4 linked regions of the Elephas maximus indicus genome follow. The protein of the gene in region 3 purifies or fractionates together with the protein of the main gene of each other region. This does not show direct contact. Links are inferred from orthologs where the notes say so. Each region holds a gene or a part of one and is shown on either strand. Other genes may lie near its edges.

Region 1 (7,614 bases), on a different chromosome or scaffold from region 3:
GAAAAGAACCTTGAAGATATATCCACACTTGAGATAGGATAAAAATCAGTTGGGGGCAAAAGATAACAATTGTTGTTTTCTTCCTCGGCTAAAGTGTGTTAATAGCAATCTTCTGACCCTTTCGGTGTAGGTAATAGTGCCTCGAACACACAGGGAGACAAAGTGCTTGCGATAGCTACCTTGCTTTTATTCATTCACCAAAAGAGTTAAGAACTGACGCTGGCCATGGTTTTGGGGGCGCTCTCGCAGCACCAGGAAAGGGGGCGGAACTAGAGCCTTCCCGCTCACTCCAGCAAAAAGGCTACTCCCCACAGAGAGGCGGGTGGGTCCCGAAGTGGCAGGCCGCAGGGAATCTGCTCCTAGATCCTCCTACCCTGTCCCCCGCAATCCAGCGGAGACGGCCAGAAACGAGCTCTGGCAACAGGTGGGCCTGACTCCCAGGATGGTTCTGAGCCGCGGTGCCACGGCGGCGAATTGTGAACTCCACGACAGGTGGGAGCAGCCTCGCCAGGAGTGAAGCCTTGCCCCCAGACGGAGCTCTAAAAATAAGTCAGGTCTACGAAAGCAACCCCCGGGCCAAACGTCTCTGAGGTTACAAAGAAAAGGCATTTTGGCAGAACATATCAAGAGGTGCCTTTAACCCTGGACCGGCCCCTCTTCCCAGGACTGGATGCCGTAAGTCGCTCCCACCTAGACACGGAGAACCACTCCGAACCCGAGCCAAAAGTGGACTGCCCTACAGGGAGATGAGCTGTCCTGGGTCATGCCTAAGACTCCCAGGCGAACCCGAGACAGCCAACAACGCCAGCCACCTTGCCCTGTGAAGAAAAAACACTGCCAGCGTGCGCAGCGATCTCTAGCTTAAGCTAATGGCAATCCCCTGGAAGTCAGGGGCCGCCGGTGTGCGAGAATAGCCAGGCAGCGGTCAGAACTTTAATACGCAGCCCCAGCCGGGAAGGGCAGATTTCACCCTCTCAGCTCCTGCAGAATCCCTCAAAATCCACTCCACACGGTCATCCCCTAGTTGGACCACGAAGGCCAGCAGACTTCGATCCTTGGAGGGATCTTTGTGTGCCTGCTCTGCTCGCGCCCCCCCGCCCCCTCTCGCCCCCGCCCCCCACGCCAAGGGCGCCGAGCTCAGGACTTCCGGGCGGGAGGGCAGTTCGAAGGAGCGGGGCGGGCCCCATACATGTGCGAAGCGCGCACACGAGCGAAGGGAGGGGGCAGGGACGAGTGGTTGGCTTTTTCCTCCTCCCAGCTCGCTCCGCCGGAGGAGGCGGAACTATTCATTTCACCAATTAGAAATAGGGGCGGGACCTTGCGCCTCACGTAAGCCGCAGGAATCCTCCCTCCGCCCTTCTAGGAAAAAAATCCTAGCAACTTAAACTCCGGCCCGGCCTCCCGATAGGCGGAGCTCGGGAGAATGTCACCCAATTGGTAACCAAGAAGAGAAAAAGGGAGTCTCGCCCAGCCAGTAGAAAACAAGAGGAGGCGGAGCCTCTGGAGGAGCCCGAGGTGGGTGGAAGAGACGGCCCCGCCCTCAGCTACCCTCCTGGCCGGTTGCACAAGGCTCCGCCGGAGTATAGTAAACAGGCTGGGCCAATGAGTGGAGGCAGGGGCAATCCCGGTGCTCCAGGGGTCCGGTCCCCTCTGCCTCCTCAGCCGGCGTCCCCGCCCGACCCCCGCAGTTCGCGCCGGCGCCTGCTTCCCCGCTTGCAGCCTGCCGGAGGCCGCCATCCCGACTGACAGGCGCGCTCCCTGCGCCCCTCCCCGCCCGCTGATGCATTTCCTTTTCCCGATTCCAAGCGTGGAGTCTGTTTTCCCTGTTTCCGACCTTCACTGCCCCTTTCAGGCCACCCCCTCGGGGGCGCGCGCAAATACGCCCGCGCCCGATTCGAGGCCGAGCGGCCCGCAGCGGCACCTCGCGGGAAGGGGGAGCCCGGCAGCGGCACGGCCGGGGGAGGGGGAGGGAGCAGCCCCGCCGCCGCCGCCGCCGCCGCGGGGTGGGAGGGAAAGGAGGGAGCTCCATGTTTGCAAGGGGATCAGCTGGGGCTGCGGGTCGGAACCGCCGAGTTCCTGGAGGTTTTCCAGACCCCCGGGCCGAGCTCAGCGCCGGTTCGCGGCCTGGCGGGTTCCGGCGCCGAATGCCGACTCCACCGCCACAGCCCGGGAGTTCGGAGAGCTCCGGCCGGCGCATGGGGCTGTTGCCGAAGCGCGGGGACTCTTTCCGGTGGCCTCTCCCGCCGCCGGCCGCCCCTCTCGCAAGTCCGGCGTTGCCCCCGCCCCCAGAGTCCCTAACAACCGCTGGCCCTCGGCGCCCGCGCCTCCCGGGGGCGCGCCCACCGGCCCCTCCGACAAGTTTGCGGGCAGAAACAAAACCCCTGGGGTGGCTGCCGCCTTCGTGCAGCGTGGTTAGCGGGGAAAGCCGCGGGCCTCGGCTCGCTTGCTAACTCCAGCTCTCGACCAACTCCAGGCACCGCGAGCTCAGTGGGCCCGGCCAACCCGGCTCGGGCCGCCGCCCCCTGCCGATCCCGCGCGCCGCAGCCCGGGCCTGGTTCCAGTCGGTGTACGGAATCCCCCATTTTTCTTTACAAATTTTTTCAAAAGGGAGGGACATTCCAGGAGCGGGGAATCTCCTTCTGCCTACCCCTTGCCCATTCCGCCGCCGAAACCTACCGAAACCGACTGCTCGGTGAAATAAACTAGGGAGCACGGCTGGCGCCCTGGCGACCCCAGGCCGGGCCGGCCCCCTCCCCACAGCTCCCGCCCGGCTTGGAAACACACTGGCAAGCGGGCGGCGCCAAGAGCTCTCCTTCCTGGCCTGCCCCTCGCCTCCCTCAGCGGCCGGACTCCGAGCCTCCCCCTGGCTCCGTCCCGGGGCCCGTGGCGCCCGCACCGCCGCGGGCTGGCCAAAGCGAGCGGCCATGGACTAGCCCCCCAAACGCCGGAGATTGGGGGGACCAAATTAAAAGCAGCTGTTTAACATACCTTCCGAGCCAGGCGAGGAGTCCTGAATGGGGGGGAACGCCCCCCACGGGCCATTGGCTCCCCGCTTCTAACGTCAGTCATCCTGGGCCCGCCTTCTCTCCTTGCCCCGCCTCTTCCCCTTCATTGCACGCCCCCTCCCTCCAAAAAAAATATAAATAAACTCTCCGCGAGTGGGCGGCACAACTGTGGCAGAGGTCCCTGTCTTCTCAGTCTTGGAGTTTGAGGCCCTCGAGCCGGAGGGAGGCCTTCTGGGACTTGAGGATCCGCAGGTGGACCCGGAGGAAGAGGGAGCTGGGCTGCGCGGCCCCCACTTCCTTCACACACACACATACACACCCTTCAGAGCTGGACGGAGAGGCGGGAAAGGGCACCCTAGCGCCTGGCTGGAATATCTGGCTGTGACCTAACCGTGTCCGGTGCCCTCTGTTATCGCCTAAAAGTGAGTGATGCAAGTGGGAATCCCTGCGTCCAGGACAACAGGCACTTGTCTGAGCACCTTCGGGTGAGGCAGACACGTTAATACCGCGCCTGCTGCTGGGTCCGTTCACAGAGGCCGGATGAGAGGCTCACTCCACACCGTCCAGGGACTCCCGGTCCAGCCGAAAAGATGATACAGAAAAAGCTAACTCAAGGCAGGAATGTGTACATAAATAGACATCTCTAGGAGCTCAGGGAAGGGAGATTCCTTCCAGCTGAAGGAAAATTAGGAAAGGTTTCATAGAGGCATTCAAGTTGGGTCTCGAAGGAGATTTCACCAGGCAGAAATGGAAGGGCAAGTCATTTTTCAGCAAAGGGCACAAAGGGGTAGGTGTGAAACATTGTTAAGGCCCTTCAAGTGCAGCTGGGATAGTTAATGAAAATTAAGGTTGGAAAGATGGGACCAGAGGAAGGCTTATAATATTTGGTTAAAATGCTTGGACCTACACAGCTGAATGTGTTTGAACAGGGTGGTCACAGGGCCACACAAAAAGGCCCAGAATTCTGGTCTAAGATGCTCAGCATCCCAGCGGCTGGATGGGTTCTGAGGGTGGGCTGAGTGAGGAGTGCCTAGGCTGTTGCAATGACTGGTTGGAAAGTACAAGAGGCACATTGTAGCGCTCGAGTCAAAGCGCTACAGATTCTTCCCTGCATCATTTGCCGAATTTGTCATAACTCCCAACCAAAAGGATTTCTGGTGGGGGGGAGTAGGAGGCACCCCACAGGCCTGTGCTTAATAGAACTGAGCCTGTGTTCGAGGTCCAAAATGTGTGAGCAAGAAAGACCTGTTAATTGAGGCAGCCCTACCCGCATTGGGGCAGTGAGGAAAGGAAACTGGTGTGGATGAGGTGGGATGTGCAGAGTATGATGGGCCTTAGAGGCCTGTGGGCAAAATGGGGGCTTGCTGCTGTTTAGGAGGCTGCCTCAATAGTTCAGGTGAGCTGTAATGAGGACCTGACTGGGGCAATGAGAGTGGGGAAGGAATAGGAGAGAGATGTGTTTTGAGAAAGACTCAAGGGGAGCGGGTGACTGGTTCAGTGTAGGTAGTGGAGGGAAGGAAGTAACCAGTAGCATGCTGTGTGAGGAGGTGTATGAAGAATTTGTGGCTAGTGGTTGGGTCATCTGGGTTCTAAGCCAGTGACTGGTGACATATCCTTAGGCAAATCCCTTTCTCCCTCTGGACCCATTTTCCCCCTGTGAAATAGGGGTGGAAATTGGAGTAGAAAGACATCCTCTAAAAACCCTTCCCTCTGAGTTCATGTACCTGCCCCAGGTGCGTGTGTGTTGGGGTCCGGGGGATCCTTCCACTAAGAGAAAGGGCAGGTAGGAAGGTGATTTGGGAAATGTAGTGGGTCACCCCAGGAGTCTCCGCTGATGAGATCATTGAGGGGAAAGGCCAGGAGATGAGGACTGTGTGTTTAATGGCAGGCCATGGAGGTCAAGCTTCACTCTCAGACCAGAGACCCCCTGATGTCTGGAGCCCCCATCTCAGATTCCTGCTGTATTACCAAGGGGCTCTGCCCTCACGGAAGGCATAGCAGATACCAACCGAGTCAGTGTGGGATGAAGCAGAGTGCTAGAGCAGTAAGGACGCTAGCTTGGAAGTTGAGCCCCCTGGTCCCCACTCAGTCCCTTATTATCTGTGGATCAGCCTCCCCTCTTGTAAAAGAGGATAACATTATAATCCTTGCCTTGCTGTTCTCAGGCTTGTTATGGGGATAAAATATGATGATAAAATGCTCTTTAATACACCTGAGTTTCTGTGCTTCTGTGGAGACCAAGGACCCAAGCATTTGATTGAGCCTGGGAAGCAAGTAGTGTGCTGTGGATGAAATTACTTACAGAGCATTTGCAACTAGAACAGCTGCCCCCCACCCCAGAGAACCAGGTTTCCCTGACACTCCCAGCTTTAAGTGTACCACCTTGTTGCGGACTCCCCCCTCAACACCCCTAAACTGACCTCAGGAGTTACCTTGGAAGGGCTCCAGTGATTGTTTCTGACTCAGTACACTGATGCCTGCACAGCCAACCCCAGCCTCTGTGAGAATAGTTGATTTGGTGACACTGGCCCTCCAGCTACACTGAGGGTTGCATCCACATCCCCCTCTCCATGCCAGTGATGACAGAACAGTGAATATACCTGGGTGAGAGCCCTTCTTGGAGAAGTCATGTTGGGATGCCAGGTTCTGATTCCCAGGAGGCCTCTTTTGTGTGAAACATCCCACAAGTTTTTTGAGTTAGGGATTCTTAACCTTATTTTCCAGATGAGTAAACTCTGAGGCTCAGAGCAGTAGAGTGACTTTCCCGTGTCAGGTGGCCAAGTCTATCCGGGCTCATAGCCTGAGTAGCCAAGTCTATCCATGCCCAAAGCCTGAGCTGTGTCCCCACATGCTGTCTCCGTACACACTGGTGCCTGAGATGAGCTCCAGGTTGGGACCCCTACAGAAAAGTCTCCCCTCTTGCTCCACACTTCTCACCTCCATAAATGTAACAGCAGTTTGTCCCCAGAGAGTTCATTTCTAGCTTTTTCAAAAAAATTATCCTCCTCAAAGAAGCAAGATTTGTCTTGCAGTCACACACATCATATGTCAACTCACAATACACATACTCAAAACTATCACACCTTCTGACATCCACAATTTCACAGAAAACTCACACACACAAACACCCTCATTCACAAAAAGAACTCATTCACAGTTCTTTAGGGTGCTTATGGTGATTAGAGAAATTTAGAGCCTGCACTGCAGTGCCCTGCTGCCAGAACCTCTGGCAGCTGTAGAAGGCAGCCACAGCCTGCTGGGGAATATCCATGTGAGGAGCATTTGAGGCTTTACTTTGGAATCGGAGGCTAGGTCCCTACCCCCACCCCAAGCACCCTATAGCTTCAAGGGGAGAAGCTCAAGCTATTGGTCAGGATTCTGGTTCAGCCACTTCCCAGCTGGATGGCTTTATCTTTATCTGTAAACTAAGAATATCTACTTCGGTGGGCTGTTGTAACATTAAAGTATGCCTAGCATTTCGTTAAGACTTCTCCAACTTTTTTCGTCATCCCATCCTCACCCCCTCTTCTCCTGGTCATTCAAATGCAAAGTCCCTGAAGTTGGAGTCCTAGCAGTGAGTCCAGGAGCTGGCCTAAAGGACCAAACAACTCTACTATGTGAAGAAACTCCATTTCTCTAGCAACCAGGTGGTGTAGTAAGTTGTTTATATTCCATATTCTGATTCCTGGGTGGCCTTGGAGGCTTGGGAATTTTGAGTAGGTGTTAGACTGCCATTCTGTGTCTTCAAGTACCTTCCCCTCAGTGTGAGTTTACCCCTCTGGGTTGCTTCCAGCCCAAATCTGGAAAATCAATATAACTGTCTGTTTCCCCAGGTTACCTGGATTTATGCTTTAAAAGTGTTTCCTTCGTATATCAGTTGTTTGGTAATTATTTTCTTTAAGTGGCAGATGCCCTTGTTCAAATGAAATCTTGGGAGGGCTAATATGTAAGAGACAAAAAGTGGGGCTTGCTTTGGTTGAAGTGGCAGTCAGAGCACTCTAGTTTCTACTTTGCCTTCCACTTGTGCCTCCTCCTTCTGACAGCCCCTGCCCCAGGAAGACAGCTAGCGAACCCGTTTTTCCAAATCTTGTTCATTCATCCCAACCATTCCCCACCTCTCAACAGCCTGTGACAAGCCAGCCTGGCTTAGCCTCAGGTTACCTCTGCCTATTGCTCAGTATCACTGAGGGGCTTTTCTTCCTCTACCCATCTTCTAAATGTCGGTGGCCCCCACAGGTCTCTCCTCTCATCTTGCCCTCCTCAGTCTTGGCTGATCCCACCCACTACCAATGCTCATTGCTTCTATGTAGACAAAGTCCCAAATTGGTATTTCCTGTCTAGTATCTGTCCTGAACGTTAGACTCGGACTTCAACTGGCTCCTGGACACAGGTAGTCATTAAAGGTCAAGGAGGTAAAACAGAGACCCCACAAGATGAAGGGGCTGACCTCTGCTCCGTTGCACATCTGCGCAGTCCTGAGGCTTTCAAACTATATTGTGGCTTAGAGAGGCAGACAGGTTCTAAGGTGGGGGAGGAGTAGAAGAGAGTGAGCCTGGAATGGGGGAGGGGACACTGTGCCTTTTTATTCTTTTTTTTATATAAATATATA
Region 2 (7,624 bases), on a different chromosome or scaffold from region 3:
GAAATAAACTTATAGGTTAGCTATTCTATTTAAACAAATATCAATAAAAAATGTTCTGATAATTTTCGAGATCATCTCTAAGTCTCCAGGCTGGTCTAGGCTTGTGCTGTTATGACACTGAACAGGTTACCACAGAGCTTTCAGACTAAGACAAGGAAGAAAGGTCTGGTGATCTGCTTCTGAAAATTAGCCAGTGAAAACTCTATGGATCACAAGTGTCTGATCTGCCACCAATCGTGAGGATGGTGCAGGATCGAGCAACATTTCATGCCACTGTGCATGGGGTCACCATGAGCTCGAACCAACTTGATGGCAGCAAACAATATATCCTTACGAAGTAAAAAATAACAGAGATTAACCACTACACTCACAAGATAAAAAAAAGGCATTAGGAAGGATAAAACTCTTGCCCAAGGTCACTCTCTAGATCACTATTAAGGCCTCACAACTCTAGCTAAACCTGATTACATCAAATGCCAGTGTTCTGAAGTGGCACACAGAAGCACCTTCAATGTGCTTACGTGTGTGCGCAGAAGAAACAAGGGAGACTACCCTTTGTTCCAAAAGGTTACTTCTCTAAGTATGCCAGACACAGAATGAATTTGTTTATTCTAAGAGCCACTGGTGTCCCTATGAGGTACCTGCTGTCAGCAGGAATGAGGGCCAGACGCAGAAAGCTGCTTTGCGACAGATGTAAAACAACTCTGAAGGTTTCAAGTCCAAATTTGAGATCACACACAAAAAAAAGTAACCAATGCTCTTCAGCAAATGATGACATCACAGAAATGGAGACAGACTGTGACGTAACAGAAAGAAGGATGAACTAAAGATTCAAGAAACTGGAGTTTAGTTCCAGACAGGCCACTCCATTTCCTCATTTGTTCAAGAAATATTTAACGTACAAATTCCTGTATTAGGCCCTGGGGTTGCAGCGAGAGAGGAGATACAGGTTCCTACCCTCACAGAGTCTGCATTCCAGCTGGAAACAGACATTAAACAACTATTTCAAAATCAGCCACTTAATCATTAATTTGAAACATATAAAATTGCCATTTTTGTAGATTAAATACTCAAATATAAGGCATTTCTCAGGGTTGTGTAAAGTTCTATGAAGCAGACCCGACCTAGATTGAGAATTTTGAAAAGTATCCCTGAGAAGCCAACTTTTGAACTAAGCTCTGGGAGTTAACCCAGGAAGGGGGTGGAGAGAGGGGAGGAGGAAGGATGCCTGGCAGCAGAACAGGAGTGTGCGACAACAGCCTCCTGGCAAAGAGGGCAGTTTGAGCGAGACAGGCAAGGCAGGAAAGATCTGCTTTGGTCTTTATCCTGAGATAAGAAGACAAGAGGCCACTGAAGCGTTATTTTCTAACCAGGGGATGCTATGGTAACATTTTCACTTTAAAAAGATCACTCTGGTAACTGAAAATAAGAAAAACGAAATCGTTCCGACTGCAATGTGAAGTAGGGACTGGGTAGGCGGCCAGTGTAGAAGCAGGGAGATGACGGAGGCGCTGGTGCCGATGTCTAGGTGAAGATGATAATCTGGCCTCGGTGACAGGTGAGGACAAAGATGTCGAGGAGAAAAAAAAGGTGTACCGATTCTTACGTTTAACCAAAACCTAGGAGAATTAGATTTAGAGAGGAAAAATCATTTAATTTCGGAGTCCCAAATAAGAAGCTTTCTCTTGTTGGGAAATAGACAAACACACGAATACAGACCTGAGTAATGATGTCCCCAAAAGGGTGGAGGGTGAGGGGTGACGGGCTGGAGAAGGCCTCCTGGAGGAAACTAAGACCCATCCATCGGGGCTTCTGATAGGGAAAAGGGGAAGGAAAGGGCTCAAGGAGGCATCAAAAAGTCGCCCGTGAGTGTTAAATGCGATAACGCACCCGAGTTCCTGCTACAAGACAGGCGCTCATTCCGTCTCCAAACAAGGGCTAGGCCCAGGCCCCTCCACCAGCAGCCCCCAGGGCACGAGAAAGTACCAGCGGTACATCTGGACCGTACGCCTCGGAGGTGCACCTGGAAAGTACACCTCGGAGGTACGCCTGGGAGGTACACCTGGAACGTGCACCTGGGAGGTACGCCTGGGAGGTGCACCTGGAACGTGCACCTGGGAGGTACGCCTGGGAGGTGCACCTGGAACGTGCACCTGGGAGGTACGCCTGGGAGGTACACCTGGAACGTGCGCCTGGGAGATACCTGGGAAGTGCACCTGGAACGTACACCTGGGAGGTGCACCTGGAACGTGCACCTGGGAGGTACGCCTGGGAGGTACACCTGGAACGTACACCTGGGAGGTACACCTGAAAGATGTCAGGGGAGGGGACGGGGCCCGATGTCCGCGGCCAGGCTGGCTTCCGCCGGCAGGCAGAATTACGGAGGGCTCTTACCCAACTTAAGTGAGTTAACACAGAAAGCCATCAGGCCGTCACACTGGACGCTCAGCGCTCGCGAGCCTTTGTGACGGGGCAGCTGAGAAACAAGCCCGAGCACGCCGGGCGGCGGCGAGAACGCCCCGGTAAGCGAGAGGGCGCGTTCGTCCGGTCCGCGCGGGAACCCTGCCGCCGCGCAGAGCGCAAGACCCGGCAGACCGAGCGCTGACCGGAAGCCGGCAGCCCCTCCCGGGCGACGCGCAGAGCGCAAGGCCCGACGGACCGAGCGCGGACCGGAAGCCAGCAGTCTCTCCCGGGAGACGCGCGGCCAGGTGGGCGGGCCCACGAGCCGGGCCGCCCGCTCATTGGTTGCAGCCGGCGCGCCCCCTGACCTCACGCCGACGCGGGCAGTAGCCACCTCCCGCTTCCTGCTTGCCCCCTCCCCCAGCGCCCGCCAGTTCGGCGCTCCCCGGGGCCGGCCCCCCAGGAGCCGCCGCCCCAGCCCCTCACCATTTCCGCACTTTCTCGATGGCCGCCATCACCTTCTTGATGTCGTCCTTGGCGCGGCTGCGGGTCTCGGCCCGGACCGACCGGCCCGACATGGCGGCGGCGGGGGCTGGGGCTCTGCTCCCAGGACACGGGATCGCGCGCCGCCCGCCGCCCACCGCCCGCAGCCGCAGCGTCACCGCCGCCCTGGCCCCCTCCGTGCGCGCGTGCGCGGGGAGCGCGCGCACCCGCCCGCCCCTTGGGGCTCGAGGCCTCAGCGCGCTTGCGCGCCCGCCCGCCGCCGGCGGCCCCCGCTGGGCGCCCCGCAACCCCTTAGCCCCGCGCAGGCCGGGTGCGCGGCGAGCGGGCGGCACGTGCAGTGGGCAGGGCGAGGTGCGAGGCCCCGGCTCTTCAGGGGTCAGAGGCCAGCACCTGCCGGAGCGGCTCCTGCGGCTTCCAGCCTGTGGCCTGGACGCTGCGGGCCCCGGGCGCCTGGCCTGCCCCGGTCAGCGCCCAGCTCCCCGGAGAGGTCCCAGAGCGGGACACCTTTCCCCAGCAGGCCGCTGACCCTCGCACACACCTGATCCCTGCAGCTGCCTCTTCGCTGCCGACATCCAGCTAAAACTCAGACACCTCCTCCGAATTCCGTGGGGTCCCACCTTATTCTGCAGTCTTTGAGTGCGACCCACCTACACTACCACCTTGTTCACACTTGATCCCTTGTCTCATTTCGTGCAGCAGCTGACTAAATGATGCCGACTTCTGCAAAGTTCTGTGCTAAGTGCTGAGGACACAAGGATGTGTATTTCGCACCGTGAACTCCCGGGTTAGTAGAACGTGCAAATCAGAAGAGGTATTTAAAATGTCATGTGATACTTGCTGGCTAAGAGAAGTATAGGGTGCTTTGACAGCTCGAAGTTAGATGGGGGCTTTCCAGAAAGCTTGGGGAGGAGAGAAAGTGAGCTTGAAGCTGATCTCTGAAAACAGGGTAGATGCTATTGTTCCAAGGGCTAACAGTGTCCACAGGCATTGAAAATGCTCCTTAGACGTTTATCGACACAGCTAATAGGCAGAGCAGATGGAAGCTTTGCAGGTACGAGGGTCAAGAATAGCTTCTACCTGACTGAGGAGTGGAAGAGCTGCACCAGCAAGTGGAGGGAAAAGCTGACTGAAGAAATAATGGGATCAAAGGTGGCACACCTATTTCTCAAACCCAACTGATCCAAAATCACCCACCGCCTGAGCTCTGCCATGTGCCCCATAGCAGAGGACACTGTGGGTGATGCAAAGATGGGTAAGACACTCCCTGCCCTCCAGCTGAGGATAAGGAAAGCAACAGGAACATAAAACATAAGGCAGAACATGTTAAGTGCCAGAGAGAGGCCAGGTTTCTAGACGCCTCCAATTCTGTTCATAGGTTTCCCTGGTGCAGGCATACAGCCCAACACCTGGCGGTTATGTCTAACCTCTGTCTCACCCTTGTCCAAGTCCTGACCAGCCTCCCCCTGGCCTCTGGAGGTTTCTGGCCTGTAGTTTCTTTCCACCTAACAGCTGCCCTGGTCTCTGGCGGCATCCAACCCTCCTCCAGCCCACGCTGCCCCACTGCCAGTCAGTCACTTTTTCTGACCAGGCCATCCCCAGCTCCAAAGTCCCAGTGACCCATGTTAACTGCTCACATTTGTTCGCCCCCATCTCCCACTGCAGCTTTGTCTGTGTGAGAGAGTATCAAAGCAGGCACATACCAACTATTCCCCACAGACCACACAAATGGTGACCTCTTTTTCTTTTTGAAAGTCACGCCTTGACATTTTTGAGGTGAAAGCCTGTTGCTGGATCCTGAGGGGGATGCAGAGATCAGCCAGCCCAGGCCTCGTCCCTGAAGAACTTGCACTCAAGGCAATGGTTTCCCTTCTCAGAGGAAAAGCTATAGTGGCCTCGATGCCTCGCACCATGTGCCTGCCACACCCCTCCCAAGAATTCTCTGACCTCACCTCCTATAACTTTCTCCTTTGCACTCTCCAACTGCTCTGGCCGCCTTGCTAATCTGAAAACATTCACTCAAGCTCCTGCCTCAGGACCTTTACACTGGAGGTTCTTCTGCCCATCCCCCATATATGTGCATGGTTCACTCCCTCACCCCTGCCTTTAATCTTTACTCAAATGTTCTCAGTGCAGCCTTCCCTGCCCACCCTACCTAAGGCTGCCACATCTGTTCCACGCACATTCCCTATCTCCCCACATTTTTCTTTGGAGCATTCATCATCTAAAATACTATTTGTTTATGTTGGTTATTATCTATCTCCCGATTTCAGTTGCTCCATGAAGGTAGCAACATGGTCCATTAGTTCACTGATTGTCCCCAACACCTAGAACAGAGCCGGGCACTCAGTAGGTACTCATAAATACTTGTTGAATGAGTGAATGACCAACATCAATGCTTCCCCCTTCCATAAACCCTTCCCAGATCACTCCAAGCAGAAGGAAAGAGACCTTCCTCCCATGAACCCCCACAGGACTCTGAACACATTCTGTATTATACCCTGAACTCTCCTAAAAGGCAAGGATTTCCAAGGCAGTCTAGACAAAAAGCCACCCTGAAGACCACTGGTAGCTAAAGAAACCTGTTTGAGGAGAAGCCTCATGGTGTAGGAGTCTCAAACACGCTGAGGTTCCTCTCTCTTTCCTCCTTCATAGGTTAAGATGGGGGAAAGAGGATAAGAATCAATGTCTCCCTCCTTTCTGCAAAAGCCACTGGAAGGTCTACTCCTGTGTCAGGCCACAGAAACCAAAACACAGTGCTGAGGAGCAAAGAAGACGTGAGATGTTGTGAAGGATTCCCCGGGCACTCTAAGCAGCGACGGTGGAAACCCGTGGAATTCACTGAGAGAAGTTTCAGGGGCTAAAAAATGGAAATGATTCAAGGAGGCCTTCAAAACTTTCACAGGGGGTGGTTCCCTGGTACGTTGTTAATGCGAAGTACCAGGAAGCCAGAAACAAGAACGCGGCCAATGAGGACACAGCATAGGCAGAGAGAGCCCAGTGGTGCCCCGACGACCATGAGGCTCACCCAAGAAAGCTGTTAGAATGCAGATTCCTGGGCCCTATCACCAAGGTTTTGTCTCCATGGTTCTGTAGATGGCTTGTGCATGTGTTTTGTTTTGTTTTTGTTTAAAGGTATACAGTTAAGTTTAAAAGTTAAAAAATAAACAAGTCCCTCCCTCCTGATCCTGCACTCACCCTGTCCTTGTCACCCTCTGCCTAACCTTCCAGAGACAGTCTACACTGATACTGTCAACGTTGGCTGCACCTGGGGAACTCCAAAAAAATACCGATGCCGGGGCCCACCCCGGAGGTTCTGGTTTAGTGGTCCGTGGTGCAGCCTGAACGTTGGGGTTTGTTTTTTAAGGTTTCCAGATCACAGTCTTGTACAGCTGAGGTTTCGAACCATTGGTCCACATATTTACAAACATATATCCAAAAGTACATATTCCTTTCTTTTTCTACACAGATTGTAGCACACTCCGCACTAGTCTGCACCTTGATATCTCATGTAGTATATCATTGTATTAGCTTTCAGTTGCTGCTGTGACAAATTACCACATATTTAGTGGCTTAAAGCAACATCAATTCATTAGCTTACAGTTCTGTAGACAAGACGTCCAACATGGATCTCACAGGGTTAAGGTCAAGGTGTCAGCAGCGTGCATTCCCTTCTGGAGGCTCTAGGGGAGAATCTGTGTCCTTGCCTGTTGCAGTTTCTAGAGGCCACTCCCTTTCCTTGGTGTGATGGTTATAGGCCAACTGGGCGAGGCTATGATTCTCAGCGGTTTGTCAGGCACTAGGTAGTCACCTCCCATTTTGTGATCTAAAGTGAGTAGCCAATCAGTTGGAAGGGGCGTTTCCTTGGGGGTGTAGCCTACATCCAGGATGTAAATGGATGTTCTGGCAAAGCTCTCTCTCCCGATTCTGCATTCATCTCGTTGACGTCTAACGTCTGGATCTTGGGTCATGAGAAGACTTCAACCTGCTGCTGGACCTGCAGATTTTGGATTCACCAAGTCCTGAAACCCCATGAGCCATTAGCCTGCTGCCTGACCTACAGAGTTTGGGTTTGTCGGCCCCTGTAACCACGTGAGTCAGAAGCCTCCAGCCTGCTGCTTGACCCAAGGATTTGGGACTTGCCAGCCTCCACAATTGCTTGAGCAATTTTCTTGAATAAATCTCTCTCTGTATATTTACATATATGCTTCACTGGTTTTGTTCCTCTGTAGAACCTAGCCTAAGACACTTGGTTCATGGCCCCTTTCTCCATCTTCAAAGCCAGCAATGTCAGGTTGAGTCCTTCTCATGCCACCACCTTTCTGCATCTCTCTTCTGCTTCCCTCTTCCACTTTTAAGAACCATTGTGGTTATACTGGGCCCACTCAGATAATCCAGGATAACCTCCTATCATTTTTTTAAAAATTGTGCTTTAAGTGAAAGTTTACAGTTTAAGTTAGTTTCTCATACAAAAATTTATATACACATTGTTATGTGACCCTAGTAGTTGTTATTGTTGTTAGGTGCCATCGAGTCGGTTCCGACTCATAGCGACCCTGTACACAACAGAACGAAACACTGCCCGGTCCTGCACCACCCTTACAATCATTGTTATGCTTGAGCCCATCCTTGCTGCCACTATGTCAATCCATCTTGTTGAGGGTCTCCTCTTGTCCGCTGACCCTGTACTTCACACCAAGCATGATGTCCTTCTCCAGGGACG
Region 3 (6,975 bases):
GCCCCATGACCAGTGGCCTGTGGGCCAGGTGCTGGCTTCCTTGGAGACCCTGATTGCTTTCCCTTTCTGGGTCCCTCGACTCCTCGGTCAAATTTTCAGCACCGTTGAACTCAGTCCCACAAAAGATCACTGCTATGACTTTTCCCACTTTACCCACCCAGCATAGTATATTTATTAAGTGAAAACGAGTTTCTCCACATTTCACGAGTAAAGATGTGTATAAGCATCAACCAGAGTCTCTGTGTAGCATGAGCCCCTCCTGCTTCAGATAGAAAGCACAGATGCCAACCACTGAACCTCCTGGCCTGTGTGTGCTGGTGCCACCCAAGGGTAAGCACAGAATTCCCATGAGGTTTTTGAAAAGAAACTGACCACAGTGTCCCCCATTACTACCCTGGAGGTCCCTCGGGACTCTGGGACTCCTCAGCCCCTCCCAAGACCCCTTCAGGCGACTGTCCTCCTGGGTTTTCCCTGAATCAGCCCTGGCCCTCTATGAACCCAGGTGTCCCAAATGTCAAATGAAGGTACTAGGCTTAGTGATTTCTCAGGGTCCTCTCAGCTTTGTGACCTGGCCTGGTGACTATAGCTGCCTGTAGATGGCGGGAGAATAAGGACACGCACTCACAGCAACTGCAGATGCCACCCAAGGCAGCTCCACGGGGTACCGCACAGGGCGTTGGGGGTGGGGTGGGATGTGACCATGGCTGGCCTGCCTCTCTGAACACAGAGTCTGTTTCCAAGGGCAAGGGGTCCAAGGGCCATCTATCCAACAGTCACCAGAGCTACTGAGTATCCACAGATAGCATTCTGCTCTTGAATCCTCCCTTGAATGCCAAATGGCTGATGCTTGTTAAGCCTGGCCCAAAAGAACAGGTGTAGGCCTCTCCCACTTGGGGCTCTACAGACTGGACCAGGCACAAAGGGACCCTCATGAAATCACTCTCACTCAACAAGCTGGGCCAGGAGCAAACAGGCTGAAAGAAAAGGCTGCTGTTAGCTTTCGAGAAACCTAAAGTGTGTCACATGGAAGGTCTTCGAGACCATGCTCACTATATAGGTGACAAAAATGATGTAGGCGGAGGAGGCTGGAACTAGGCCTCCAATGGTCTTCCCACCTGGCTGCTGCTTCTTCCCAATTACTTTACGCCACCGAATCATGGGAAGCTTTCTTCTCAAGAGGACCACCCACTCCAAGTCAAGGGCATTGTTGTTATTAGGTGCTGTCAAGTCAGTTCTGACTCATAGCAACCCTATGTACAACAGAACGAAACACTGCCTGGTCCTGCGCCATCCTCATAATCGTTATGCTTGAGCCCATCGTTGCAGCTACTGTGCCACTCCATCTCGTAGAGGGTAAGCGAAAAGCTAACCCTCTAATTTACCATTAGGTCAGGTAAAGATTTATCCTTAAACAGCTTGCACCACGGCACATTCGGAAACTCCTTTTTGAGCCCTGAATGTAGGTGGGTGCCGACCAGCTGGTGAGGCCCCTTCTGAGCAGGGGAAGATGGACAGAAATTGGCAACATGTCCGCAGCTAAGCCTTCTTTGAACAGCAGCACTTATGTGATAACATGAAGAATTTATTGCATCCCGCTCTCCTGTTTTATAAAAACTGGTGAAACATTAAAGTTCTGAGGTAAGCGACAACACCGGCCTCACAGACTAAGACAAGGTGGGAGTCATGAGGGGTCCTGACAGCCTCAGCGTGACAATCACAGGTTTGATTCTTTCATGCTATGCTCAGTGGTGAAGAAAAGGAAAGACACTTTAAAAAAAGCATGAATGAGATGTTGGAGTATGACACTGAAACCTGCTACAACAGAGAAGAGACCCTTGGCATTTTGTGGTTGTGTTCGCACTCCAAGATTGGCACTTACCTTGTCACATAAGAAACTCAACGGTGTGACATGTGCACGTGTAAACTTTATTTACACCCATCAATTAAAAAAAGAAATATATATTAGTTGGGTACTGACTTTAGGTGAGAAAAGACTAATACGAGGCAATTTGGCAAAACTTAACGTAGTACAAACCCCCGTTAGATGGGGCGGTTGTAGGATTTTCCTAAAGCCAGTTCGCCAGCTGGCTCACAGTACTGTCGCTTCGAATTGAGGATTAAAGAACAGAACCTTCTCCCCTTAATAATTCAGGTCAGTCCGTTCACAAATCTCCAAAACGTCAATTGCTTCGGAAGTGCTGAGAGATGTCCCTCCTACAGAGTCGCTATGAGTCGGAATCGACTGACGGCAGTAGGTTTGGCCCACCTCCGCGGCAACGAACACAAACCGGCAGGAGCCCTCACTAAGCCCCAGGTTTCCAACCCGCGATTTCAGGATCTTAGACGGAACAATGGGGGCGGGGTGCACATGAGATTGTCAACATCTCAAAAGACTTAAGGGCAACATTGTGACCCCTTCATGCACCGCAGGGACTAGCCACAAAAAACAACCCACAACACCCCTTTTATTTGCGTCTTTGCTGGCGCTGGACCAGCTTAGGCGGTCCCCTGGCACCTCGCAGGACCTAAGCCATGACGCGGGGTGAGCCCCGGACCACGCGGAAACCGAACGCCAACCCAGAACGCCGAGAGCCCGGGGCGGAGCCTGGGCAGACCACACCCCCGAAAGGCCTCGCCCCGGCCACGCGCGCGCGCCCGTCGCGATGAATGGAGACGGCCGCCCCCCGCGCGCAGACCCGCCCCGGGCCTCCTGCGGGGCGGGGTGGGGCGAGGACGCGCCGCGGGTACCTCGGAGCCGATCATGTAGAACTCGCCGTCGTCCTCCAGCTGGAACTTGACGGGCTTCTGCCCGAAGGTCTTGCTCAGCGCCATCATCATCATTGCGGCGGCGGAAGCGGGCGGCCGGGGCCGGGCTGCGAAAGGTCGGGAGGGCTGAGGCGGGGCCGGGACTAGCCGCGCCGCGCCGCGGAGAACCGAGGCCGGGAGGCGAAGGCTGGGCCAGATTTGGTGCTCGCGTCGCTGTGGACTTGTCAGCCTCCGTCGCCGCCTAGGCCGCTCTCCATGCGCATGCGCGGGCGTTGACGCAGACGCGCGCGCCACCGCCCAGACAAAAGATCGGGGCGCGCTCCCCTCCGGCTCCTTAAAGGAACCGTGACCCGTTTTTCTTCTGGTTGCCTCCCAAAGTCCTGGTGCATTGAAAAGCTTCTAGCCGACAGAAAATAGCAGCTGAGGGCCTGACTCAGGCGGTGGCTTCCAAGTCTCACAGGAAGGACTGGAACTCTGCCCAGTGGAGGAGGAATGAAGGGGGACCTGAAGGCCAGGAGGAGGAAAGGACTATATCTGGAAACCTGGCAGTACTTTTTGAATCTAGGCCAGCCTCAGTTTCCCCACCCTGAAGTACAGTGCTGCCGAGCAACTAAGAGGGTTCATGAAAACAAATGTGCCAGGTCCACACCCAACTGGTTCTGCGGCTGTGGGGGTGGGTAAAATGACAACAGTGAAGTGGGGATTGGCATGAGCAAAGGCCTAGGGGCCTGAATGTAGCTGCATTTGGTTTGGCTGGTGTATCAGATGAGTGTGGGAGGGGAGTGTCAAAGAGTAAAAACTGTACATACTGTTAATGTAAAAGTAAAGAGGTTTATTAAAGGCAAGGTACAGTTTTGTTGTTGCTCGGTGTGGTGGAGTCAGTGCTGACTCATAGCAACCCGATGTACAAAAGAACAAAACACTGCCTGGTCGTGCACCATACATCATCGTTATGCTTAAGTGCGTTGTTGCAGCCGCTGGGTCAGTCTGTCTTGTTGAGAACCTTCTTCTTTTTCGATGACCCTCCACTTTAACAAGCATGATGTTCTTCTGCAGGGACAGATCCCTCCTGATAACATGTCCAAGTATGTGAGACTAAGACTTGCCATCCTTGCTTCTAAGGAGCATTCTGACTGTACTTCTTCCAGGATAGATTTGCTTGTTCTTTTTGGCAGTCCGTGGTATATGCAATATTCTTCGCCAACACCATAATTCAAAGGCATTGATGCTTCCGGCCTTCCTTATTCACTGTCCAGCTTTCACATGCATATGAGGCAATTGAAAACACCATGGCTTGGGTCAGGCTCACCTTAGTCCTTAAAGTGACATCTTTACTTTTTAACACTTTAAAGAGGTCTTTTGCAGCAGATTTGCCCAATGGAATGCATCCTTACATTTCTTGACTGCTGCTTCCATGGGTGTTGATTGTGGATCCAAGTAAAATGAAATCCTTTAAAACTTTAGTCTTTCTTCTCTTTATCATGACGTTGCTTGTTGGTACAGTTGTGAGGATGATTGTTTTCTTTAGGTTGAGGTGCAATCCATACTGAAGGCTGTGGTCTTTGATCATCAGTGCTTCATGTCCTCTTCACTTTCAGCAGGGTTGTGTTACCTGCGTGTCGAAGGTTGTTAATGAGCCTTCCTCCAGTCCTGATGCCACGTTCTTCTTCATATACTCCAGCTTCTTGGATTATTTGCTCAGCATACAGATTGAATAAGTATGGTGAAAGGATACAACCCTGACGCACACCTTTCCTGACTTTAAACAGCGTTGTACTCCAGGATCTTGAAATGTTCTTTTGATGATGAATGCAACTCCATTCCTCTTCAATTCGTCATTCTTGGCACAGTAGACCAATTCAAAATGGCCAGTACCAGTCCATTTCAGCTCACTAATGCCTCGGATATCAATGTTTATGTGTTCCATTTCATTTTTGATGACTTCCAATTTTTGTAGATTCATACTTCATACATTCCACATTCCAATTATTAATGGGTGTTTACAGCTGTTTCTTCTCACTGAGTCATGTCACATCACTGAGTGAAGGCCCTAGAAGCTTGACTCTATCCTTGTCATTAAGGCTGACTCTACTTTGAGGAGGCAGCTCTTCCGCAGTCGTATTTTGAGTGCCTTCTAACCTGTGGGCTCATCTTCTGACCCTATATCAGACAATATTCCACTGCTATACATAAGGTTTTTACTGGCTAATTTTTTTCAGAAGTAGATCGCCGAACTTCCTAGTTTGTCTTAGTTTGGAAGCTCAGCTGAAACCTGTCCACCATGGATGACCCTGCTGGTATTTGAATACCAGTGGCAGAGCTACCAGCATCACAGCAACACGTGAGCCCCCACAGTATGACAAACTGACAGATACGGCGCGGGGGGGGATACATTTTAAACTGGGGAAACATTAGATTTCACAGAGTGAAATCTAAAGCCTCGAAGAGTTACAGGCATCCATGCAATATTTATATTGTTAAACCAGGAACTAGCAACATAATACTCTGATTGGTGCTTAAAAAAACCCATTGCGGTTGAGTCGATTCCGACTCATAGTGACCCTATAGGACAGAGTAGAACTGCCCCATAGTTTCCAAGGAGCGCCTGGTGGATTCGAACTGCCGAATTGGTTGGTTAGCAACTGTAGCACTTAACCACTACACCACCAGGGTTTCCGATTGATGCTTAGTGAGGTAAAACAGTTGAGGGTGGGATATCTGGAAATGGGGAAACTTTTCTGATTTGTTCAAAGGCTAGATGTGGGTTTTGTTTTGAGAACAGGTGGTAAAGATTAACTTGCTTAAGGGAAAGTTCTTTGGAGAACATTTTACCCAATGGGGTTTGTTAGCTCCCTCCCCCTAGTTTCACGTGTACTTTTGACACTGGTAGCCTAGCTCTGGCTTATAAGAAGGCAGTATGTACTCAAACTTTATAAAAAACAGAAAAATCAAAATGTGGCTAAGACAGTTGCAAGATCAGAGAGCCATGACTAGAAGACTCCTGGAGTCTTGGAAACATGTTCATTAATCTCGTTTCCTGAGAGGACAAATTTCAAGTATTTTAATAAGCCTGATTACCTAAATACAATTATGTGAAACTAGACAAGTTGCTTCTAAAGGTTAATTATAGTTTGAGAAAAACATTTGGTATTTCAGTAGCCTACACAAAGTTTAACTGTTGCTAAGGAAAAAAGCAGGACAAGCGAGAGTCTGAAAAGATACAAGATGGAGTTGGGCTTAAACCTGAGCCAGCCCCCCTCAGAAGTATCAGGCACCCTAATTTTAAAATTTCGTACATAGGAGGGACACCTCTGTTCCTGCCTCCACTCTGGTGTGTGACTACAATAAGCCCAGCGGGTATAGGTGAGTGAAACCAGACAGCCCTGCTGAGTGGCATCAGAGTATTGGCTGTATCCCTCGGAACGATCTACTAGGCTGAAATGGCCTGATAGCAGCATCTGGTTCCATCCTAGTGGCCTTGCTGCTGTGGTAAGTGCTATGAAGAAGACACATGTGGGGCTGGGCAGCGTGGGCTGGAGATGCTGGAGAGTCAGGAGGGTGGGCCGTGGTCCCCCTGAGCCTTGTTCTGTGTCCTGACAGCAGTGGGAAAGCAAAGCATTTTAAAATAGGGGCAAGGTGGGGCATGATCTCATAAAATGGCTATTTCGTGGAGGACAGAGGGGGCAAGCTTGGAAGCAGGGAGCCAATTAGAAAGCCACTACAGGTGTCAGGAGTCCCCAAGTGGTGCAAACAGTAAACGTGAAAGTTTGGAGGTTCAGGTCCACCCAGAAGTGTCTCAGAGAAAGGCCTGGTAACCTACCTCCAAAAAAGCAGCCATTTAAAACCCGATGGAACAGTTCTATTCTGACACACATGGTGTCACCTTGGGTGGGAGTCCACTTGACAGGCGAGGCATGATGGAGGATAAACAGGAGGCGCCCTGAACACTAAACCCAGTACCTGGGACCAGAGGCTTGGGGCAGGCAGGCTGCAGCCTTGCCTCACAGTGAGGGAGCAAGGCCTCCTGCACCAAGGCCAACTCTTTCCCTGCCTAGCCATGCTGCCACAGAGAGACACCAGACAGGCAGGTAGAAAACGAGTGTGTTTAATGACAGTCCTTCAGTAAAAAAGGCTCTGTACACACTGTACACAACACATTTACAGGGCTTTGGGGGTCCCAGGGAAATGGCACTGGACGAGGGCTGTAGG
Region 4 (7,921 bases), about 14 Mb from region 3:
AGCCACGCAGTTAATAAACAACTCAAAGCCTCAACCTCCAACTGGAAGGCCCATTCTAAAGGTACAGTGAAGGTGAGATACAGCTACTAAACCCAAGCAGTGAAGAAAAGAAGCCTTTTTTTTTTTTTTTGAGCTCAGAGGTGGCAAAAAAAAAAAATCCGCAAGACTTTTACAAAGTCCACCTTATATCAACAACATTTAATGAGTGCTCCTACGTGAAAGGTTGGTGGTTCGAACCTACCCAGAAGTACCTCAGAAGACAGGCCCGGCGATCTGCTTTCGAAACATCACAGCCTCGAAAACCCTATGGAGCGGTTCTCTGCACACAAGGGGTCGCCATGAGTCAAAACTGACAACTAAAAACAATGTACCAGGAGTTCCCAGGTGGTGAAAACAGTTAACGCACTTGGCTGCTAACCCAAAGGCTGGAGGTTTAACTCCACCCACAGATGCCTCGGAAGAAAGGCCTGGCGATCTACGTCCAAAAAATCAGCAGTCAAAAACCCTATGGAGCACAATTCTACACATGGGGTTGCCATGAGTCGAAGCTGACTGGAGGGCAACTGGTAATTGGCCCACGTGCTAGGACAGGTGCTTTTGGAGACCTGACTGTATTTGGTCCTCATCCACCCTAAGGGGCAAGGAGCACAGGACTTCTTTTTTACAATGGCTTTGACAAGTTGCATGGTAAGGTCACAGCAAGGGAGTGGGCTGGGAGCCCATCTGTTAGTTCCCACAGCCTGCCTGACATCTTTAAAGGACAAGACATGTTTCCCAAAACACAGGGAGGGAGAGAGACTCCCTCTACCCAAACACGCCTGGCTGTCCTGTGCAGGCTTCCGGGGCTGTCTGGTTCTGGGGCTTGCTGGGTAGAAAACCCCATCTCTCCATCTGCCTTCTGTGTGGAGCAGCTGGTGGGCCTGCAGGAGCAGCTGTCAGGGTGCAGGGCCTCAGCCAGGCTCCCACCCTGGGGCAGGAGGCCCCACCAAGCCTTCTCCAGCAGAGAAAGGCCGCCTGTTCCGGCTCCTTCCTAGCCTCCAGGATGGCCACAGAAGGGGCTCAGGCCCAGACACCAGTCCATTCTTTGCAACAGGACAACTCCAGCCTTCCCACCTGGGAATCCTACAGAAGACGGAGTTGGCAGGGCTTGTTTTCCAGTGGCTGCGTTTTAGCCTGCAGCTGTTTCTGCCATTTTTAAAAGGCTCCATTCCGGCCACTGTGTGCGCACAGGCCAGGGAAGCTACCGAAGCACCGGCGACTCGGATCTCAACTTTGAATAGCCTCCCTTCTCACGGTTCTGAAAATTCTTTGTCCCGTTGGAGCCAAACCCAGCCCACGGCCGGGCATCCGGCCATCCACAGACAGCTCTTTCCATAGGAGGCCCCGGAGCACGTGGACTTTATTGATTTTTCTCTTGCTTTTTTTGTTGGGTTTGACTCAGAAAGGACAGCGAACTTGTGACACTGCCGGACCTAGAGGCTCGGCCCCCCGTGATTTTTAGAGATGGAGGCGCGACTCAAGAAATGACACCCCAAAACGTAAATATACCCTGCCACCGGGCCTGCCCACCTTCAGAGCTTTAAATAAAGGGGCAGGGCGAGACCGTGGGTGCTGACACTCGGGGACAGCGTTGCGGCCGTTCCTCTCCCTCCCGTACCCTGGTGAAGCCGTGGGAGGAAAAAAAAATAAAGTTGAAACCCGGGAGCCTGGAGTTCTCTGAAAGTCTACCCCAACCTGGATCGGCTCAGCCTCGGGCCTGGCCTGGGGCCGATCAGGGTCAGACCCGCCGAGACCGGGGAAGGCTCTTAACACAATGATTACGAGGGCCACACCAGCCAGGAGCTCATTTGAGCTTGAAAACCACGCGCCCCCGACCCCAAATGTTCCTTTTGCCCCCGAGTAGAGAACAAAAACAACGGCTCTCCCTGCAAAACACACACGAGCTTCTGTTTTGGGGAAGGCAGGCGCGGCCCAGGAGCACTTTTGCTGCCTCCAAATCTCCTCCAGCCGTACCCCGCGCCCCGCAGCCGGTGCGGGTGGGCGGTGGGAGTGGGTGCCCGGCGCCCCGGCCGCCCCACCGGCATCGCTTCCTCCCGGCGCTCGCCCCCGTCTTTCTTCCTCGCCAAAAGCCCTCTCTCCAGGCAGCCCAAAGCGCTAAATTTAAACGGCTGGCGCTCTGCAAACTCCACAGACTCGAGGGCGCCGGGCCTGGGAGGCGGGAGCCGGCGGCGGAGACGCCGTGCGGGCAGGGCGCGGGGCCGGCGCTGCGCTCGCCGCCCGAGGCGCGCGGGGAGGAGACGCGGCCCGCTCCGAGCCTGCACAATGGAGCTCGCGCTCTCCGCTCCGCCGGCATCACGGCCCGGCGCGCGGGAAGCCGCTTTCATGTGACTTGCACAAAACGAAATGGCTTCTGGGCCGGCCCCGAGTCCCCTCCCGGCCGCGCGCCGTGCCTGGGCCGCCGCCGGTCCCGCCGCCGGTCCCGCCGCCCCGCGCGCCCGCCGCCTCCGAGCCGCCGCCGCCGCCGCGGCGCCAGGTGGGCGCCGGGCGAGCGCACCTGGGCAGCGGCCGCGGTCCCGGCTCGCGCAGGTGACCCGGCCCGCCCGCCACCCGCGCCAACTCTGGGCCCGCGGCCCGGGCGAGGGGCGCGGGCGGACCCTTGGGGCCGCGGAGACCGGGCGTCCGGGTTTTGTGCGGCCGCGGCACCCGGCGAGGAGGCGCCTCAGCTCACCATTTGCGCACTTTCTCGATAGCCGCCATGACCCTCTTGATATCATCTTTGGCCCGGCTCCTGGTCTCGGCTCGAACCGACCTGCCCGACATGGTGCTGGCGGCGACAGAGGCTGGGGCCGCGCCGCCGGTCCTGCTCGCGCTCCGCGGCGGCCACACTCGCTCGCTCGCGGCTCACTCACACAGACACTCACACACGCATTCACACACTCACACACACATACACACAAAGCCTGTGCCGCCGCGCGCCGGGCCCAGTGCGCAAGCGCCGGGCGGCAGCTGCACCGAGCGGGGGAGCAGCGCCGCCGCCGCCGCCAGTGCGGCCTCCGGGCCCGGCAGCGCCCCAGGCTCGGGCCGCGCGCCGCGACCCCGGCTTCTGCCCGGGGAAGGCGCCCGGGACCCCCACCCCGGGCGGCGAGGGGGCGCGGCGACCCGGGCCCCCGCGGCCGAGAGGGCACGTGGAGGGGGAGGCGTGGGCCGCGCGCGCGGACAAGTCCTCGGAGGCCGCAGGTGCTGGGGGTCCCTTGGGGAGGGCAGGCTGGCGGGACAGCCAGCCTGGCAGGGCGCGCGTTCTTTGGGAGCCAGCTCGGCTGCCTGTCTCCGGGCCCGGGTTCGTTGTAGCGGTTGCAATAATGCAAGTTTCCTGTGGGGCTCTTGACTTCTCAGAGTTGAAGGCGGCGATTCGGGACGCGAGTTGCTCTTGGAGAGAGTTGAGAAATACGGATCGCTGTTCGTTCGCCCTCTTCCCCGTTTCAACACGCGGGCTGACACCTCGCCGCCCCGACGCTGGGCCCTTTGGCTAAACTAGGATGGAAGGAAGGGGGCCTGTGGCAGATCCCGGGAAAACAGTTGGCCGTGCTTTTTAAACAGCTTTCTGCGTAGGAAAAGCTCAGTGACCCTCAGCCTTTTACTAGGTGCCCTTACCTTAAGATCAGGTGCCCTCGCCATAATTAAGATGAGGGGTATGCTGGGGTTTCCGTCAGAGAACTACAATTTAAACTGAAGCTGTTGATGGCACTCCGGATAAGTGCCAGGCTCCGGGAAGGTGAAAAGGACTGGCCAGCCCACGGAGAGGGCTTTTGACAGCAGTTTTCTTCCCATTAGACCTCAGGACAGCCCTGTGGAGGAATAGACGATTATCAGGACAGCCCAGGTGCCCCCACCTTTATGTTTGGCTGCAGCTGTTTAGATCTGACCAGCACCCAGTCGTGCCCCATGAGTGCTCAGGAAAATGAGAGGGGCAGCCTTAGCAATTCCAACGCCAGTCACTTCCAGGTGCGAAACTGAGTCCCGAGGAGTTATGTCCAAGGTCTTAGGCATAACCTACATCTCCAATTCTCACTCATCCTAATCTCAAGCAATTTCCCCCGAGGTTTGGTTTTTTTTGTAGAAGCTCTAAGGGGGAAGTGGAGAGGGAGACTGCGCGTGTCTTTCCCAGGCATGTCGTTTTACTTTTCTGAAACTCAAATTCCTGATGTGAAAATTAAGATTACAGCACTAACCTCAGTGACCCAGCAATTCCAGCCCTAGGTATATACACTCACAAGAATTAAAAGCAGGGACTTAAACAGAAACCTGCACATCAACGTTCATTGCAGCACTTTTCACACCAGCCAAAAGGCAGAAGCTTATCAACAGATGACTGGATAAACAAAATGTGGCGCATCCATGCAGTGGGGTATTAAGCAGCCATAAAGAGAAATGAAGTCCAGATTCGCTACAGCATGGACGAGCCTTGAGAATATTATGCTGAGTGGAGTAAGTCACAAAAGGACAAATGTTACATGATCCCACTTATATGAAATAGACTGTAAATGTACAGAGACCAGAGTTTATTAGTGGTTACCAGAGGTACAGAGAGAGGGAGAGTGGGGAGTCATTGCTTAGGGGGACACTGAGTTTCTGTTAATGGTGGTGGAATAATCTGGAAACGGACAGTGATGATGGTTGTACAACATGATGAACATGATGCCACTGAATTGTACATGTAAAAACTGTTGAATTGGCAAATGTTTTGTTAATATGTTTTTACCACAATAAAAATAAATTTTTAAAAAAGAAAGGCACTTAGAGAATTATCCTGAAGATTATATGGGAAACCATGGAGCAGCAGGCCATAAAACAGACGTCTGACTAGATCTAGCCAGCAGATATGTACTTTGGGCTGTGCAGGACTTTTAAAAATATTTTAATTGAAAATAGATATCATGTCAAAACCCCCAATTGCAATTGGTGAATAGATAAACGAAAATCCTCACGATAGAATATTATTTGGCCATAAAACAAAAGAAGTACAGACATATGCCCCAACATGGATGAATGCTGGAAGGCAGTGGAAGGCAGACACAGAAGGAAAAACACTGTCTGATTCCACTTAAATGAAATACCCACAATAGGCCAATCCATAGAACCAGAAAGCAGATTAGTGGTTGCCAGAGGCTGAGGAGCAGTGGGGATGGGGAGAGACTGCTAATAGGCATGGGGTTTCCTTCTGAAGTGACAAAAAAGTTCTGAAACTAGACAGAGGACGTGGTCGTACAACATTGTGGTTACACTTAATGCCACTGGATTGTAAACGTTAAAATGACTAAAATGGTCAGTTTTATGTTATTTGTATTTTACCAAAAGGAAAACCCAAATATCCAGCCTATTCAGAAATAGCAGTAGATCTGGCAACACTGGGCCCCCACTGTCCCCATCAAGGGACCACGCTGTGCCCTTCAGACGACGTCCCCCAGTTCACGAGTGTGCTCATCCAACCGCTTTACTCATTTGTGTTACCTGTCTGGCCCCTGAAGGTATTTGTGTTTTCGATCCCTGATTAAACTGTAAAACTCTACAAATGTTCTTTACAAATCTAGTATGTCACTTTTTATAGTTTCTTGTCCCCTGAAGATATTTTAGGACTCCTTTATTTTCTTCAACAAAGCGCAGTTGTTTTATAGCCTGTGTCTGATAATTCTAACATTTGAAGTATCTGAGGGTCTGTTTCTGCTAGTTCTTGCTCATGGTATCGTATTTCCTTGTGGTATGCCTGCTTCTTTTTGACCAGGCCAGACATTGTATTTTAAACGTGATTTATAGGAATAATTTGAGGCCTAGGATGAAGTAACTTTCCTTTAGGGATGGTTTATATTTGCTTCTCCCAGGATCCTGAAGGAACTGATGGTCCAGGGCTACCTCAATCCAAGTTCAGGGCTTGTGGTTCCTGGACCACCCGGGCCATGTAAATACAGGCTGCAGGGTGTATAAGTCGAATTTGCTTATTATAACCTATGGGTGGGGTCAGTGATGTACTGCAGCTGGCTCACAGGCTTGCGTTTCCCTCTTCTGTGTTTAGTGACCTCATGTTAATAGCTTGAAGTCAGCCATGGTGAGAATATTTACACTACCAAACCAAAAAACCAAACCCAGTGCTGTCGGGTCGATTCTGACTCATAGCGACCCTATAGGACAGAGTAGAACTGCCCCATAGAGTTTCCAAGGAGCGCCTGGTGGATTCAAACTGCCAACCCTTTGGTTAGCAGCTGTAGCACTTAACCACTATGCCACCGGAGTTTCCATTTACACTACAGCCATGGGCAAATGCTATAAATCAGGATCCTCCTTCCCCTTCCCCACCCAGAGCTGTCTGTTAAACATTTGCCAGTGTACCACCCCACTAGTGTCCACTGGGGCCCCAGGTTATTGTGGGGAGAGTCTCCCTCATCACTGCAGCCACCGTGTCAGTCCATCTTGTTAAGGGTCTCCCTCTCTTTTGCTGACCCTGTTCTTTATCAAGCATGATGTCCTTCTCCAGGGACTGGTCCCTCCTGATAACATGTCTGAAGTACTTGAGACGATGTCTCCCCATCCTCGCTTCCAAGGACCACTCTGGCTATATTTCTTCCAAGACAGACTTGTTCATTCTTCTGGCAGTCCATGGTGTATTCAACATTCGTCACCAACACAATAATTTAAAGGCATCAATTCTACATCTGTCTAACTTATTCGTCATTCAGCTCTCGCGTGCTGAAAACATAGTGGCTTGGGTCAGGAGCAACTTAGTCCTCAAAGTGACATCTTTGCTTTTTAACACTTAAAAGAAGTCTTCTGCAGCAGATTTGCCCAATGCAATACATCATTTGATTCCCTGACTGCTGTTTCCATGGGCACTGATTATGGACACAAGTAAAATGAAATCCTTGACAACTTCAGTATTTTCTCCATTTATCATGATGTTACTTGTTGGTCCAGTTGAGAGGATTTTTGTTTTCTTTTATGTTGAAGTGTAATCCATACTGAAGGCTGTGGTCTTTGATCTTCATCAGTAAGTGCTTCAAGTCCTCTTCACTTTCAGCAAGCAAGGCTGTGTCAGATTACCAGGTGCTTCTAACTAGTTTTAGTCTGGAAGCTCTTGCAAGAGCTGAAACCTGTCCACCAATTTCCTCCTCTTGCTATCTCATATACCAGCAGGGTCACCCTAGGTGGACGGGTTTCAGCTGAACTTTCAGACTAAGACAGACTAGGATGAAGGACCTACTTCTGAAAAAACCAGCCAGTGAAAACCTTATGAATAGCAGCTGAACATCGTCTGATACGGCGCTGGAAGACGAGCCCCTCAGGTGGGAAGAGCTGCCTCCTCAAAGTAGAGTCCACCTTTAATGACGTGGATGGAGCCAAGCTTTCTGCACCTTCATTTACTGATGTGGTACCGCTGGAAACGAGGAGATACAGCTGCAAACATCCCTTAATAACCAAAACGTGGCACGTACAAAGTATGAATCCAGGAAAATTGGCAGTCGTCAAAAGTGAAATGGAATGCATAAAGATCCATATCCTAGGCATTAGTGAGCTGAAATGGACTGGTATTGGCCATTTTGAATCAGACAATCGTATGGTCTGCTATGCCAGGAATGACAAATTGAAGAGGAATGGTGTTGCATTCATCGTCAAAAAGAACATTTCAAGATCTATCCTGAAGTATAACGCTGTCTGTGATAGGATAATATCCATACGCCTACAAGGAAGACCAGTTAATACAACCATTATTGAAATATGCTAGGATTTGCAAATATCTGTGAGGTGAGAGTGGCCTCTTTGCTGGAGTCTCTTTCGGGGTTCTCTTTTCCCTTCAGTTTCAGCCTGATAATTCCTCACTATCTTTTCAGCACATTGTGGCTTTTCAGATGTTTTTCAATACCTTTTTTTTTTT

The links.
Region 1: the proteins of SMARCB1 (region 3) and SIN3A purify together in Homo sapiens (affinity purification with western blotting; 3 studies listed by BioGRID, with this or other methods). This does not show direct contact. The link is inferred for Elephas maximus indicus from reciprocal best matches to the Homo sapiens genes SMARCB1 and SIN3A.
Region 2: the proteins of SMARCB1 (region 3) and BCL7B purify together in Homo sapiens (affinity purification with mass spectrometry; 6 studies listed by BioGRID and IntAct, with this or other methods). This does not show direct contact. The link is inferred for Elephas maximus indicus from reciprocal best matches to the Homo sapiens genes SMARCB1 and BCL7B.
Region 4: the proteins of SMARCB1 (region 3) and BCL7A purify together in Homo sapiens (affinity purification with mass spectrometry; 7 studies listed by BioGRID and IntAct, counting the BioPlex papers as one, with this or other methods). This does not show direct contact. The link is inferred for Elephas maximus indicus from reciprocal best matches to the Homo sapiens genes SMARCB1 and BCL7A.

The regions. Positions count from the first base shown.
Region 1 is NC_064831.1:65,381,108-65,388,721, forward strand, and holds the start of SIN3A (paired amphipathic helix protein Sin3a), read right to left. Parts: upstream 3,027-7,614; 5' UTR 2,989-3,026; intron 47-2,988; exon of another isoform or gene 1-46. UniProt on the Homo sapiens protein: Acts as a transcriptional repressor. Corepressor for REST. Interacts with MXI1 to repress MYC responsive genes and antagonize MYC oncogenic activities. Also interacts with MXD1-MAX heterodimers to repress transcription by tethering SIN3A to DNA.
Region 2 is NC_064830.1:110,066,685-110,074,308, reverse strand, and holds the start of BCL7B (B-cell CLL/lymphoma 7 protein family member B), read right to left. Parts: upstream 3,064-7,624; 5' UTR 2,979-3,063; coding exon 2,887-2,978; intron 2,517-2,886; exon of another isoform or gene 2,302-2,516; intron 2,263-2,301; exon of another isoform or gene 2,161-2,262; intron 2,109-2,160; exon of another isoform or gene 2,034-2,108; intron 1-2,033. UniProt on the Homo sapiens protein: Positive regulator of apoptosis. Plays a role in the Wnt signaling pathway, negatively regulating the expression of Wnt signaling components CTNNB1 and HMGA1.
Region 3 is NC_064840.1:22,469,778-22,476,752, reverse strand, and holds the start of SMARCB1 (SWI/SNF-related matrix-associated actin-dependent regulator of chromatin subfamily B member 1), read right to left. Parts: upstream 3,029-6,975; 5' UTR 2,842-3,028; coding exon 2,749-2,841; intron 1-2,748.
Region 4 is NC_064840.1:8,047,786-8,055,706, forward strand, and holds the start of BCL7A (B-cell CLL/lymphoma 7 protein family member A), read right to left. Parts: upstream 3,005-7,921; 5' UTR 2,821-3,004; coding exon 2,729-2,820; intron 1,539-2,728; exon of another isoform or gene 1,454-1,538; intron 1-1,453.